2 linked regions of the Drosophila melanogaster genome follow. The protein of the gene in region 1 interacts with the protein of each later gene in a pairwise test. Each region holds a gene or a part of one and is shown on either strand. Other genes may lie near its edges.

Region 1 (6,882 bases):
TTGTGTCTGTTGAATCGTATCGCGTCAGTCTTCCGCAATATGAGCAGTGAGTACTTGTAGTGTCCAGTGTCCTTTAAGGACTCATCCTCATCCCCGATTCGCCTGCCTCCCCGCTCCTTCTTCCAACAGCAAGACCAGACACCAAAGAAACATCCCCACGCGTATCCTTGTGTCCCCCAGAACCGGCTCGAACCGAAACGCCAATTCCACCGGCTGACGACGCCCTATCCATTGATAACTCGTGCCGAGATAGCGAAGTTGGAGACGTGCCGGCAGATAACAGCACAGTCACAAAGTCCGATCAGGTGAACGAGGGCTGTCAAACTCGGCGAGACTCTGGAAATAATCCCGAACAGCCATACTCGCTGAACAAGATGGCAGGCGTGAGCAATGTAAAGGAGCCCCTTGGGCTCTGTCCAAACGAGATTAAGGAGGAGCAGCAGGCGTGCTCCAAACTCGATTCACGCAATCCGATCACGGGCCTCGGCCTCAACGGAGATGGTGTTGGCGGCCTCAAGCCCAAGAAGCTAAAGATCCGAGGTGGGCGTTTGGTTCTGGTTGTCGCTTCCGTCTGAAATTCCATACTCCAAACTCCAAACGAACATAGCCAATCCCCAAGTACTTTTATTAGTTGCGCTTTAATTTCGGATTCTTAGAAACCAATTTGATTTTATACACCTAGTTTGCATTCTAAGTAGTCAAATTTTCTAATGATATTCCTTTGTTTTCACAGAGGGCAACCCCGTCACAGGCGAGGGCTACAAGGTCGTAGCCAACGAGTATTCCCAGCGCCAGGAGTCGTCCAATGGCGGCACTCCGGTGATCAACAAGAACCGCATTCCCCCAGGCGGCTACTCGTCGGGCCTGTGGTAATGACAGCCGGAATTGCTCAGATCCCAGCACAAGCAATTGAGGAGCCGATGGCGGGACGAGACACTATAAGAAAAAAAAAAAACCAACAAAACAAGCAAAAAAAATCATACTACCCATCTAATATACGCATAAAACCCTACACTCCCGTATCCAGGTCAGAAAATCGAAAGGCACGAAAGTAGGACATGATGGCCAACGAATAATTAAGCGAGAGAATAGCAATTGCTCAACGATCTGCAGATGCAATAGTACGATACGCTTCCCAGATGAGAATTAATCAACCAATTTTAGAAGGCGGCGTTGCACCCAAACCTATCACTACCAACACCACCACCACCCCATTGCAAATCTGTAATTTAAATTCCTTAGTTGGTGTAAATCCATGTAACGCGTGTAGCCCCACAAAACGACGCCCGATCGCCTGCCCTCTGCAACTGCAGATATATTATATATATGATATTCATCAACCCGGTGTGTGCTTACGTGTGAAGCAAGCGAGAAGCAAGGATGCGAGCGGTGGCGGCCTGTTGGAGTCCTTTGATCACACATGGATTTTATTTTAGTTGCTACTACACGCCACATATATTTATATTTATACCAACTGCATTCACACGAACACTCACGAAAACACATACATACATACATTATAAACATTGTATTACATTACATTAAATATGTAATTTAAACGGTACGACAGCACTTTCTAATGTGCACGTGCTAATTAAGTGTAAAAATACAAAATTCAAGCGCGAATATTTGTTCAATAAAAACCTTTCGTACATAACATGCCTTTTTGTCCTTATTTAGAAAAGTGGTCGGGCTGGACGGAAATTGTTTGGAGTTAATAACCTTTTGACCGAGGTCCTAAGCTGAAGTTAAAAACTAGTTTTCAAGAAACATTTAATTTTTCGCGCCCATAAGCTTAAATCGTCGATAAGCTATCGATTGACATGCTGTGGGTTATCGATGTTCACTTTCTTGGTCTGGCAACACCGTGCAACGCCGTTCCAGTTTATTTGCGGCCCGTAGCTCTGCGACGCCGCAAACAAAATGGCTCTGATTTTTGCAGACTACAATAAGTTTTAGTTTTGGCCATTTTTCCGCTGCCCCAGTGGGCTAAACGCAGATGCAAAAGGACCCAGTGAGGTGTGTGCTGCTGCACCGACTGTGAAGATGGAACCTGGTGTGCGCAACACCTCAGAAGAGCTCTACCAAGTGAAAAACCAGACAGCCGTCGTCGTTATTGCCAATTGTGGCATATAGGATACGAAAACTAGTTCTCACGCATACGCACTCACACATTGAAGAGCCACTGACGACGCGAGCTGTCGCAGAAAAGCCTCTTCCCAGCCAAAAGATGGAGGGCATGGATCTGTGGACGTCGATGTTCTCGTCCGACTTCGAGGAGGGTGAGGCGGAGAGCGGGGTGGCGGAACTGGAGGACAGCGAGCAGTACGGGAATGGCAATGATGACTTCCTAGGCGATACGGCGATCCTTGATTCAGGCGATGCCATCGATGACCTGCTGGATGCCGAAGAGGATGAGAGGGAGGAGGAGGATGATTACGAAAAGAACTCCAAGGAGCCAAAGCAACCAGATCCCGACGATGATGCGCTCTTTGATTTTAATATGGAACCTATTGTAGATATAGCGGAGCCACAGCGTCCATCGTTGGCTCCTGCTGGACCCATGAGCCAACAAGTGCGTCCGCCAATGCAGCGACACTCATTCCCGGGAGCTGGGGGTCGACCCAGATTGGGTTCCGGACTGTCTGTACGACCCACCACCTCGCAGATCAATGCAACGGACGAGAACGGAGTGCCAATTAACTATGAGTTGGGCGTAGTCTACATCTGCCCCGCCTGCGGTGGTGAATTCCGGCAACAGGACCACTGGAAGCGGCACATGAACCACATTCACAAATACAACACTCTACGTGGCTTGAACTTTACGCCGCTGGACAAGCTCTATCAGCGGTGCAGGGAGTGCAACAAGCGGATTGCCATGCACAGCCGGGAAAACCTGCTTAAGCATAAGTTCACGCACCTGCCCTTCAGGTGCACCAAGTGCTACATCTGCAAACGGGAGTACAAATACAGGTACGGTAATGAGTATCCTATTCAGCCCTTCCTTAATAGTAATGTCTTTTAAAGGCAAGATCTTATGGTTCATCTTCGCATGGTCCATTGCGATGAAGTCGTGGCCATGATGCGGGAGGGTTACAATGCGGCGGGGCGGAAGACACGGGTTCGAGAGTCTCGCACCGAGCAGCTGCTGCGGGAGAAGAGCTTCCGAGAGAATGATGACCTTGGGGAGGAATCTGATCGCATAGAGGTTCGGAATGAGCTGCTCGAACCGGATGCCGATGAGTCTGGCACCCAGGAGCAGACCGTGTCTGAAGAGGTTTCCAAGAAAAAGGCTGGTACTCGAGGAGCAGCCGAACTGTGCGAGGATTACATACACTACATGTGTCCAGACTGCGGCACCGACTGCGACACCCACGCCCAATGGAGCCAGCACATCGAGTTCGTCCACGACTACGTCAGCCGAAGGGGACTTAATTTCCGAAGCGTGGACATGCAAATGCAGTGCCTCGAGTGCAAAAAGGTGAGTTTCGATTTATAAACCAAACTTTGCTGAATCAATTATTTTTTATTATCTCAGATTGTGACTCCCAATACCATTAAATCACTTCGCGCCCACAAATTCAGCCATTTGTCGCAGCCTGAGTGGCTGCGCTGTAAACTCTGCTACAAGGGTTACACGGATCATCAGGAAATAATCAGACATCTGCTGCAGCAGCATCATATGGATACGCTTATGTCGGAGGACGCAGAGGAGGAGGATGGTGACGCTCCCTCGGCCATAGAGGATGAATGCGACGGGGACAATGGAAACGGCGAGGGAAATGGCGCCCCTTTGGACGAGGACTCGCCCTACTTTGAAGACGCACCCAGACGCGGCGGTCGCATCAGCAGCGACGACATTTTCGAGCCTCACATCGACTACCTCTGTCCGCAGTGCGGCAAAGAATTCATCGAGAAGAAGCACTGGCGCACCCACGTGGTCATGGCGCACAGCATGAACGATCTGAGCAAGCTTAATTTTGAGATGATAAACGAACGGCAGCTTAAGTGCACTGAGTGTGACAAGATCATAACCAATGCGTATGGAATCCAGAATGCCCAGCAACACAGGATCACGCATCTTCCATTCAAGGCCTACGCCAGGTGCCGCAAGTGCCACAAGTCCTACACGGACAGGAAGGGTCTCGTAAAGCATCTGGCCACCCATCATCGGGTTGGTTGGCCACGAAAGCTTTCGGGAGGATGCCCAGCTCCAATTCTCACACCCGCCAAGCAGCCACGCAAACAGATAGTGACGGTAGCCAATGAAACGTACGAGATAATCTATCTGGACGACGTGGATCAAGGCGGCATGGAGGAGGATAACGACTTTGGTGAACAGATGCAGGCAGAAGAGGATGAATATCCAATTGCACCGCCACCACCATCACCACCACCGCCGCCACAGCCAACAACTCAAGGAAATCATCAACGCTACAAGTGCGTCCACTGTGGCACACTCTTCGCCACCCAGGCGGCCGTCCGTGTTCATATTAGCGAAAAGCGGTGCAGGAAGACAGTGGTGAGAAGGCGTCGACAGCCAGTGATGAGCTCTGCAGATCCATCCGTGCCCACCGTAGAACAAAATTACATCTTCTTGTGCCCATCCTGCGGATTTGAGTACAAGACTCAGTTCGAGTGGCGCCGTCACATCAATGAGGTGCACAATTTTGACAAGCGCCAATATCTAAACATGCGTCAGTTGGATAAGTATCGCTACCAATGCACCCAGTGCAAGGACATTGTATGCAATTCGAAGCTGAAGGGCTTGCAGGATCATCACTTCCGACATCTGCCCTACAGACTGTACCTCAAGTGCCTGATCTGCGGCACCTGCTACAATCATAAGCCGAATATAGCTGCGCATTTGAGAGCCCGTCATAGCATTTTTGATAGGGAGACACCGACGATGATTACAAAACCGAAACAAGTCCTCGGCCGTTATAAGGATAACAGTAGGGAGAACCCCAAATTGCCCTCTCCTCCACCGGCTCCAGCACTGGCACCAGCACCGCCCTCACCACCTGCATGTTCCTCTTCTGCTGCAGCCAGTGCAAGTAGTCGTTCCTTAAAACCACAGCCTGGTGGATTGCCAGCCCGACCCGCTGGTCTCAACACGCTGGAGGACAGTATCTCGTACCACAATGCCGTGGACCTGGACTTCATCACGTATTTTTGTCCCAAGTGCAATCAAAACTTTGACTCTCATGCTTTCTGGCGCAAACATATTGTGGAGCAGCACAACTTTAACAGCCGTGAGGGCCTCAACTTTCGGCAGATCGACAACCATCACTACCTGTGCCTGGAGTGCTACAAACGGGTGACCGTGACGCACACCAAGGGCGCCATCGGGCAGCTACAGTCGCATAAGTTCCGCCACCTGCCCCATAGATCCTTCAAGTGCTTGACTTGCGGCGGTGAGTTTGTGCGAAAACAAATGTTCTTCAAGCATTTGAACCGCGACACTAACCGGTGTGACAATCGTCCGCACCGGGAATTCGATGACGATGAACCCGACCAGGATACGCTATTGAGCACCATTTACCATCTAACGTGTCCGCAATGCGGTGACAATTTCAAAACTCACAATAAAAAGGAATGGCGGGAGCACATCAACGACCACCATGGCTTGACCAAGTTGGAACTTTTGCACATGACAAAGGTGGGTGAAGACGTCTACCGCTGCCAGGACTGTGATGAGGAACTGGAGACGAATCGACAGTGGGTGCTACAGTTCCATCGATTCCAGCACCTGCCCCACGCGGCCTACATCCGTTGCAAACTATGCAAGCAGAGCAGTGCGGACGGTGCTGATGCGGTGGGTGAGTTGCACAGCCTCCGCGAGCTGCAACAGCACATTCGTAAACACCATCCAGGCCTGGGGGATGCCGAGATGATATCACTAATCGAGCAGATAATCCAGGACGAGAAGGAGCAGGAGGAGGGCACGGAGCAGACCAATGATGGTGAAAACCCTACTGGTCAGGACTCAGGACCGTATATGCCGCTGCCGCCACATCTTTTGGACGATGATGGCGACGTGGAATTCGAAGATCAGTATCTGCTCGGCTAGTATTAATTTTCGATTTATTTAAATTAGGATCCTAGTGGCAAAATGTAATCTTTCCATCATGCACGTCCGTTTTTTTTTTATTTTATTTTAAAATGCGAGTGTATTCGATTTGCATATTGTATTATGCAGTGTCTTTTACTGAAACCATGAAAGTATATTTCACTTTTAAATTCCGTGTTCGTTTTTTATTTTAATAGTTCTGCGAATCGAACATAGATTACGTTTTGCCACTAAGCTAGCCCGTTTTTATGACCCAAGTCGAAATAACCTAATCCACTTCCACAACACCTGTGTACTTCCAGTGGCAGACGGATTCAGATATTCAAGAGATTAATTAGAGTATTCGTATAGTTTACCCATAGACACCGCCTAATTCTGATTACGGACTTTTAGCTGTAGGCTACTCTTTAATTGCTAGTATTAAGAATCCAAGCTATTTATTTTCGATATAATCTCAATGAACGGTAACTGATATTATCAAAATTATAATTATATTTTCAGCACCACTGCTTCGACTAATAAGAAATTGGTCTCGAAAAAGTTGGTCTATGCACGTGAGCGTTTATGCGCTGTTTGATTAATGTTAATAAATAAAACATTTAAAATTCTAAATTAACTCTCTGGAATGCTTTTACTTATACAACAACAAAAAACAAATGTTTCGGTATATTTTGTTTTATTAGTATTCAAGTTTTATATTATTTTTGCCTTAGACCAGTCACAAAACTGATCTCCAAACTTTTCAGGCTCGGGGGCACAACAGAAGTCGTTCGTAACGCATTATCGTAGGTAAATATCAACATTCTCGT
Region 2 (4,900 bases), on another chromosome or scaffold:
CAGATACCAGTCATCATCACAATTATCATCAGCATCTACAACACCACCATCGGAAATTGCATCGCACCAGATTTTGAGCAGCACGCACCTTGAAGTAATTGCAGCATCTGGCCATCGTCAACGCTGCAGACTATAATGAGTCAAAATGTGGCCGACAGTTTGGTGAGTAGCTAAACCATTATCTTGTTCATGTACTCTAGTATATAGCAAGCGTAGAAAGTAACAGGGAAATGCATAGAAAGTCATTTTGAAAGTATCTCGCAGAGCACCGAACTTTGTGTGGAGGCTTTTTGCCCAGGTCTGCTAATTATTTGGTCAAATAGTCCGTAGACTAAGTTAATGAAAAATATGTTGCAACATTTTGATTAGAGTGGTGCCGAAAAATCGAATTAAAGAAATTTATAATTTATAATTTAATTTATAATTTTTGTGATATTTATTATCACGATCACAACACAAGAGCGGTTTTTTCGTATGACTAAAGTTTTGGAGCACAACATTTTTCATCTAAATATATATTATGACGTTTACGTTTTAAAATATTATTCTCCATACTTTCTGATAGGGAGAACAGCAATAATTTTAAATAAATTTACTATAGCTTTAAACCGTATTATTTTGACACCAACATCATGAAGCACATTGAGGGTCAATCTTTAATTGATCTCTTTTTCTAGCTTTATATAAAATTCGTTATCAGCATCACCAAGTGCATAACAAATATCAGTGCCTTTTTTTGTATTGAAACTTGTTGCATTCGCTAATTGATCAATTGACGTGCTCATGGTCTCGAATATTTATCCAATGTCTACAAGCAACAAACAAAACAGCAGGCATCGTTTGATTGGCGCTTACGTAAATGCACGTTTTATTAATATTTCTGCTTATTGATTTCCCCGCCAGCTTTCTTTAAATCGTTACCAAATACCAGACAACACTCAGGTATTCCCATTTCCATAATTATGTCATTCCAGTTCACATGTTTGAACGGTTGGTCAAATGATAGCCTAAAAAGCCAAACAAAACATGGAAGAAAATTATTTAAATTTCTTTGTTGGCATTAATCAAAAATTTGGAATAAAATCCTACAGGTTTAGGAGGCCCATAAATTCCATTGATAAATGTGAAGCTATAATGAAGACAAATGCTATTGTGGGGGTCAGTGTAAATATATACCAAAAAATACTAAAATTGACAGAGAGAGTTGAGAGAGAGTTCTGATTAGAAACAAACAAGCCAACAGTCAATTGCTCATCAGAAAAAACATAAACAGAGCGCGAATGGCCAGAGCAAGTAAGATTTTTATGTTTGTTCTGATACGACATATATATACCGTGTATTTATTTTAAGAAACTTATTTATTTATATTTAGCGTGTCAACAGTCACTAGGAAGAAGTTTTAAAGAAATTTGTTTAAATTGATTTAAAAGGCCAAGTTACCATAGTGCAAAAGAAATAAAATCAATTACCAATTCAATGGTAAATTGACAGTTTATCTGGAAAAAGTTCTATTTTAAGTTTATTGACTATAAATTGTGAGAATATGTAGGTGTTTTAAATTCGGAACCAATATTGGAATGCATTGTTAATGTTAACTGTGTTTTTGAACTTGTTCGATGCAACCAATATACCTTCACGCAAGGTGTAAAACCATAGTGGGTGTTTTGCTAGAAGTTCCCACGGTCGAAAACTTGAGTACCTGAGAAAAGCGAACGAGAGAGTGCAATTGAGAGAACGGGGATGCTACAGTTACATCCGTCGAGTAAGAACATCCCCCGAAAATGCTTGCGTTCTTAATGACAGAGAGTGGATCCCCGACAGAGAGAGCGTGTGGGAGAGAGTAAGCGAGAGTTGGATACAGACGATGGGGTTTCGGGCGGTCGTTTGTTCTAAGCGGGCAGAGTTCGTCTTCGACTGTTGTTGGCGGCGGTTGCGTCGCGTGTCTCTCTACCGAGAGCTTTGTGTGTGTGTCTCGCGCGCGTTTTACGCTCTGCGCCCCCTACGCTCCCCTTTTCCAAGTAGAGAAACCCCCGAATGTGAATTTTGTATAATGTTTTTGTAATAACATGGATATCTCATGTTGAGATTTTCAGCCAAGCGAATGAAAATGCAAGCGGTATCCCGAAAATTGCCGTTTACGTGTGTGCGAGTGCAGCATTAGCAAAAGGAAAAGAGATAAAAGTGAAAACAAATAAATAGTAGGGAAGACGTGCTAAAGCACGAGAGCAAAGAGGAGATTGCCAGGCAGACGCATAGACGTAGTGCAACGAACCCTTCTTCGCGGACCAAGGATTCACCACTTACCACTAACCGGAGAACAAATACCAATATTAACCCCCCCACCTCTACTGCTACTGGGTGTGTTTCTCTATGTCCCGTTGACTCATCGTTCCCAGGAAGCTGAACAACGGTATAGCGGCCAGAACACAGAAGCCCAGTACAAAAAAAGAGCAGCAGGAATATCGATTTTACTTGCCTTTTACTTATACAACACCCCCACCACCCATTGAACTGCACTTGGGTGTAAAAATAAAACACCAGAAGCCATTAAAGGAGACGTGTAAATTAAAGCGAACCGACGAGAAGAGGATAACGGATAGGAAAACCCAAGCAGTGCATCCGTGGAAATCTCAGCAACATTTCTCAAGGAACAAAAGCCAATCTCAAATGGTAAAAAAAAACAACGCAATCCATCAGGCCGGATTAGAAAGGAGCGCACTTTAGATCTATTGGTTCTTATCCTGCCCTTACAGTGGTCACTCGAACGTTGATACATTGAAATGTTTTTTTTTAACAATATATTTAAAACAAGTACATCATATTTCTGCAATAAGCAATACATCGGTAACAAACTCCTGATAAGATAAAAACATTAATGGCTTGAATTTTATTACTATTGACCCTCGCCCTTAAATCAACGACATGGATAATTATCGATAATGCGCACCTTTTTTTGTCCGAGAATTTTCAACCCTGAAAACTAGTTGCTGTGTACTTGATCTGGTTTTGTGTGGAGAGGGATTACTGTAGTGTCTTGGTGTCGATTCACAAGGAAATGTCAACAATGATTATGGGCAAAAATGCAATGGTATGGAAACTTTACGCCTAAGTGGAGTCCAGAAATAAAACACCTTCTTTTGGTGGGGAAGGAATAGGAATCGATAAAAGTCGGGAATTTTTTACAAGTTATAAATGAATCATATGGGAACTGCCAAGCTTGGAGAAGCTTTGTTTTGGGAGTTTCGAGAATTTATATGCTAATTAAAAAGCATTCAAAATTGGTATACTTATGCTTGGGAACAAATGGTGTAGGGTATTCTTAAGTGATGTATATAATTTGTTTCGCAGGTGAAAGATAACGAATTAAAGCTATGAATTTAAAGGTGAATCAGTTTGAGATCATTTCAGTTGCAGTCCCAGTTATATTTTCGTTTCTTTATCATCCATTTATGCGGAGTGCCCCTAGAAATCATTTATCAGCTCCCATTGTATGCAAAACAAAAGCTCCGCCCCCCACTTCCTTTACCCACTGGCGAATGATGGGGGAATGCATAAAAAAAATAATTTACGTGGGGAGCTATGCTCAGTGGCTCAAACTTTAGCTTAGGTTGATATGTTTTTGTATTGTTTGCACATCATCTCTGCTGCTGCCCAACGGATGTGGTTTGATAATAGCCGAAAGAGCGGGACAGCTGCTCTGCAGTAGAGACAGATACATATGTACATATACACGTTAAATAAAAGTTTTATTCGGATATGAATTATGGTTTTTGAAATTAAAAATTGCAACAGGATGTGGCATCGGTTGATATTCGTTATGTTGTAATATAGCGAAAAGGAGACATTAGGGATAGAATATCGAATGCCAAGTAATGCCTGTTCTATTATTTCTCATAAACACAAACGATGTAAAATCTTGATGGACCTGTGTTAGTAGGCCGATGCAATTAAATTTGATCATAATTCCCTTCATTTTTTTTTATGTGCACCGAGGGAGCAGCAAATGTTGTCAAGTTGACTGCGTCGGATGCAGTCGCATGTAACTGACAGTCAGTCAGAGTCATTTAGCCAGTCAGTCATTTAGTCAGTCAGTCATTCAGGGATGACAGAGGGAAGGGGGAGAGACTGGTGTTTAGTTTCAGTCGTTTTTTTCCCTTGGCGTTTTCAATTTTGTTTTGCGTTGTTTTTTTTTTGCCGCTGCTTCTGTTGCTGCAATTCACAAAACTCGTGCCAGGGGTCGTCGATTTAAAAATAGAGATTTGTGTCTACAATTGCGGTCAAAATAAATGCCTTTTCATTTTTCAAGACAAGCGAAATGTATTGCTTATTTCGGACACCTAATCTATTGCCGCCAAGAACTAGGAAATTCTCAAAGAACTGTTTTTACATCGATACAAATTGCAATACTTTTACCTATAAATCGAATATCTCAAACGGAATACTATTTTACTATCTCAGAGTCATGTTTCATCATTTAAATATTGATCCATTTCCTTAGATGTATTTTCACTTTTAATCTATCAATATTGTGACCTCAGCTGTATGGCTGTTTGTTGATAAATTCACCCCAAATGCAAATGCAGTACCATTTCGCTTTGATGTTGCGGTTCGACTCTCCTTTGTTTTGGTTTCTGGCTATTTTTGCGAAGATCTGTAATTGAGAGAAACCCCCCCTGGGCGGAAAAGCAGAAAACGCCACCCACACGCTTTTCTGGAGGAAAGGTCACCTGCTTTATATATAGACAGATGATGATGTGGGCCGACCAATCAGGCGCCCCCTCATACTTGGATGTTATTTCTTTATAATTGGGTGCCTTGTATACACAAACACGAATATGTTTGACAATTGCCCGTCGTCTGGCATTATAATACTATATTATTTCATTACTTAATGAGCTTT

What was found. Proteins that work in one complex are often made in the same cells at the same time.
Region 2: the proteins of CG6791 (region 1) and Rgl interact in a two-hybrid assay, tested with the Drosophila melanogaster proteins (one large-scale study listed by BioGRID).

What each region holds. Positions count from the first base shown.
Region 1 is NT_033777.3:11,585,159-11,592,040, reverse strand, and holds CG6791 (uncharacterized protein), read left to right. Parts: upstream 1-1,894; 5' UTR 1,895-2,230; coding exon 2,231-2,973; intron 2,974-3,027; coding exon 3,028-3,481; intron 3,482-3,538; coding exon 3,539-6,073; 3' UTR 6,074-6,343; downstream 6,344-6,882. Other genes in the region: jupiter, read left to right, coding at 734-873.
Region 2 is NT_037436.4:13,916,961-13,921,860, reverse strand, and holds the start of Rgl (Ral guanine nucleotide dissociation stimulator-like), read left to right. Parts: upstream 1-1,895; 5' UTR 1,896-2,667; coding exon 2,668-2,670; intron 2,671-4,900.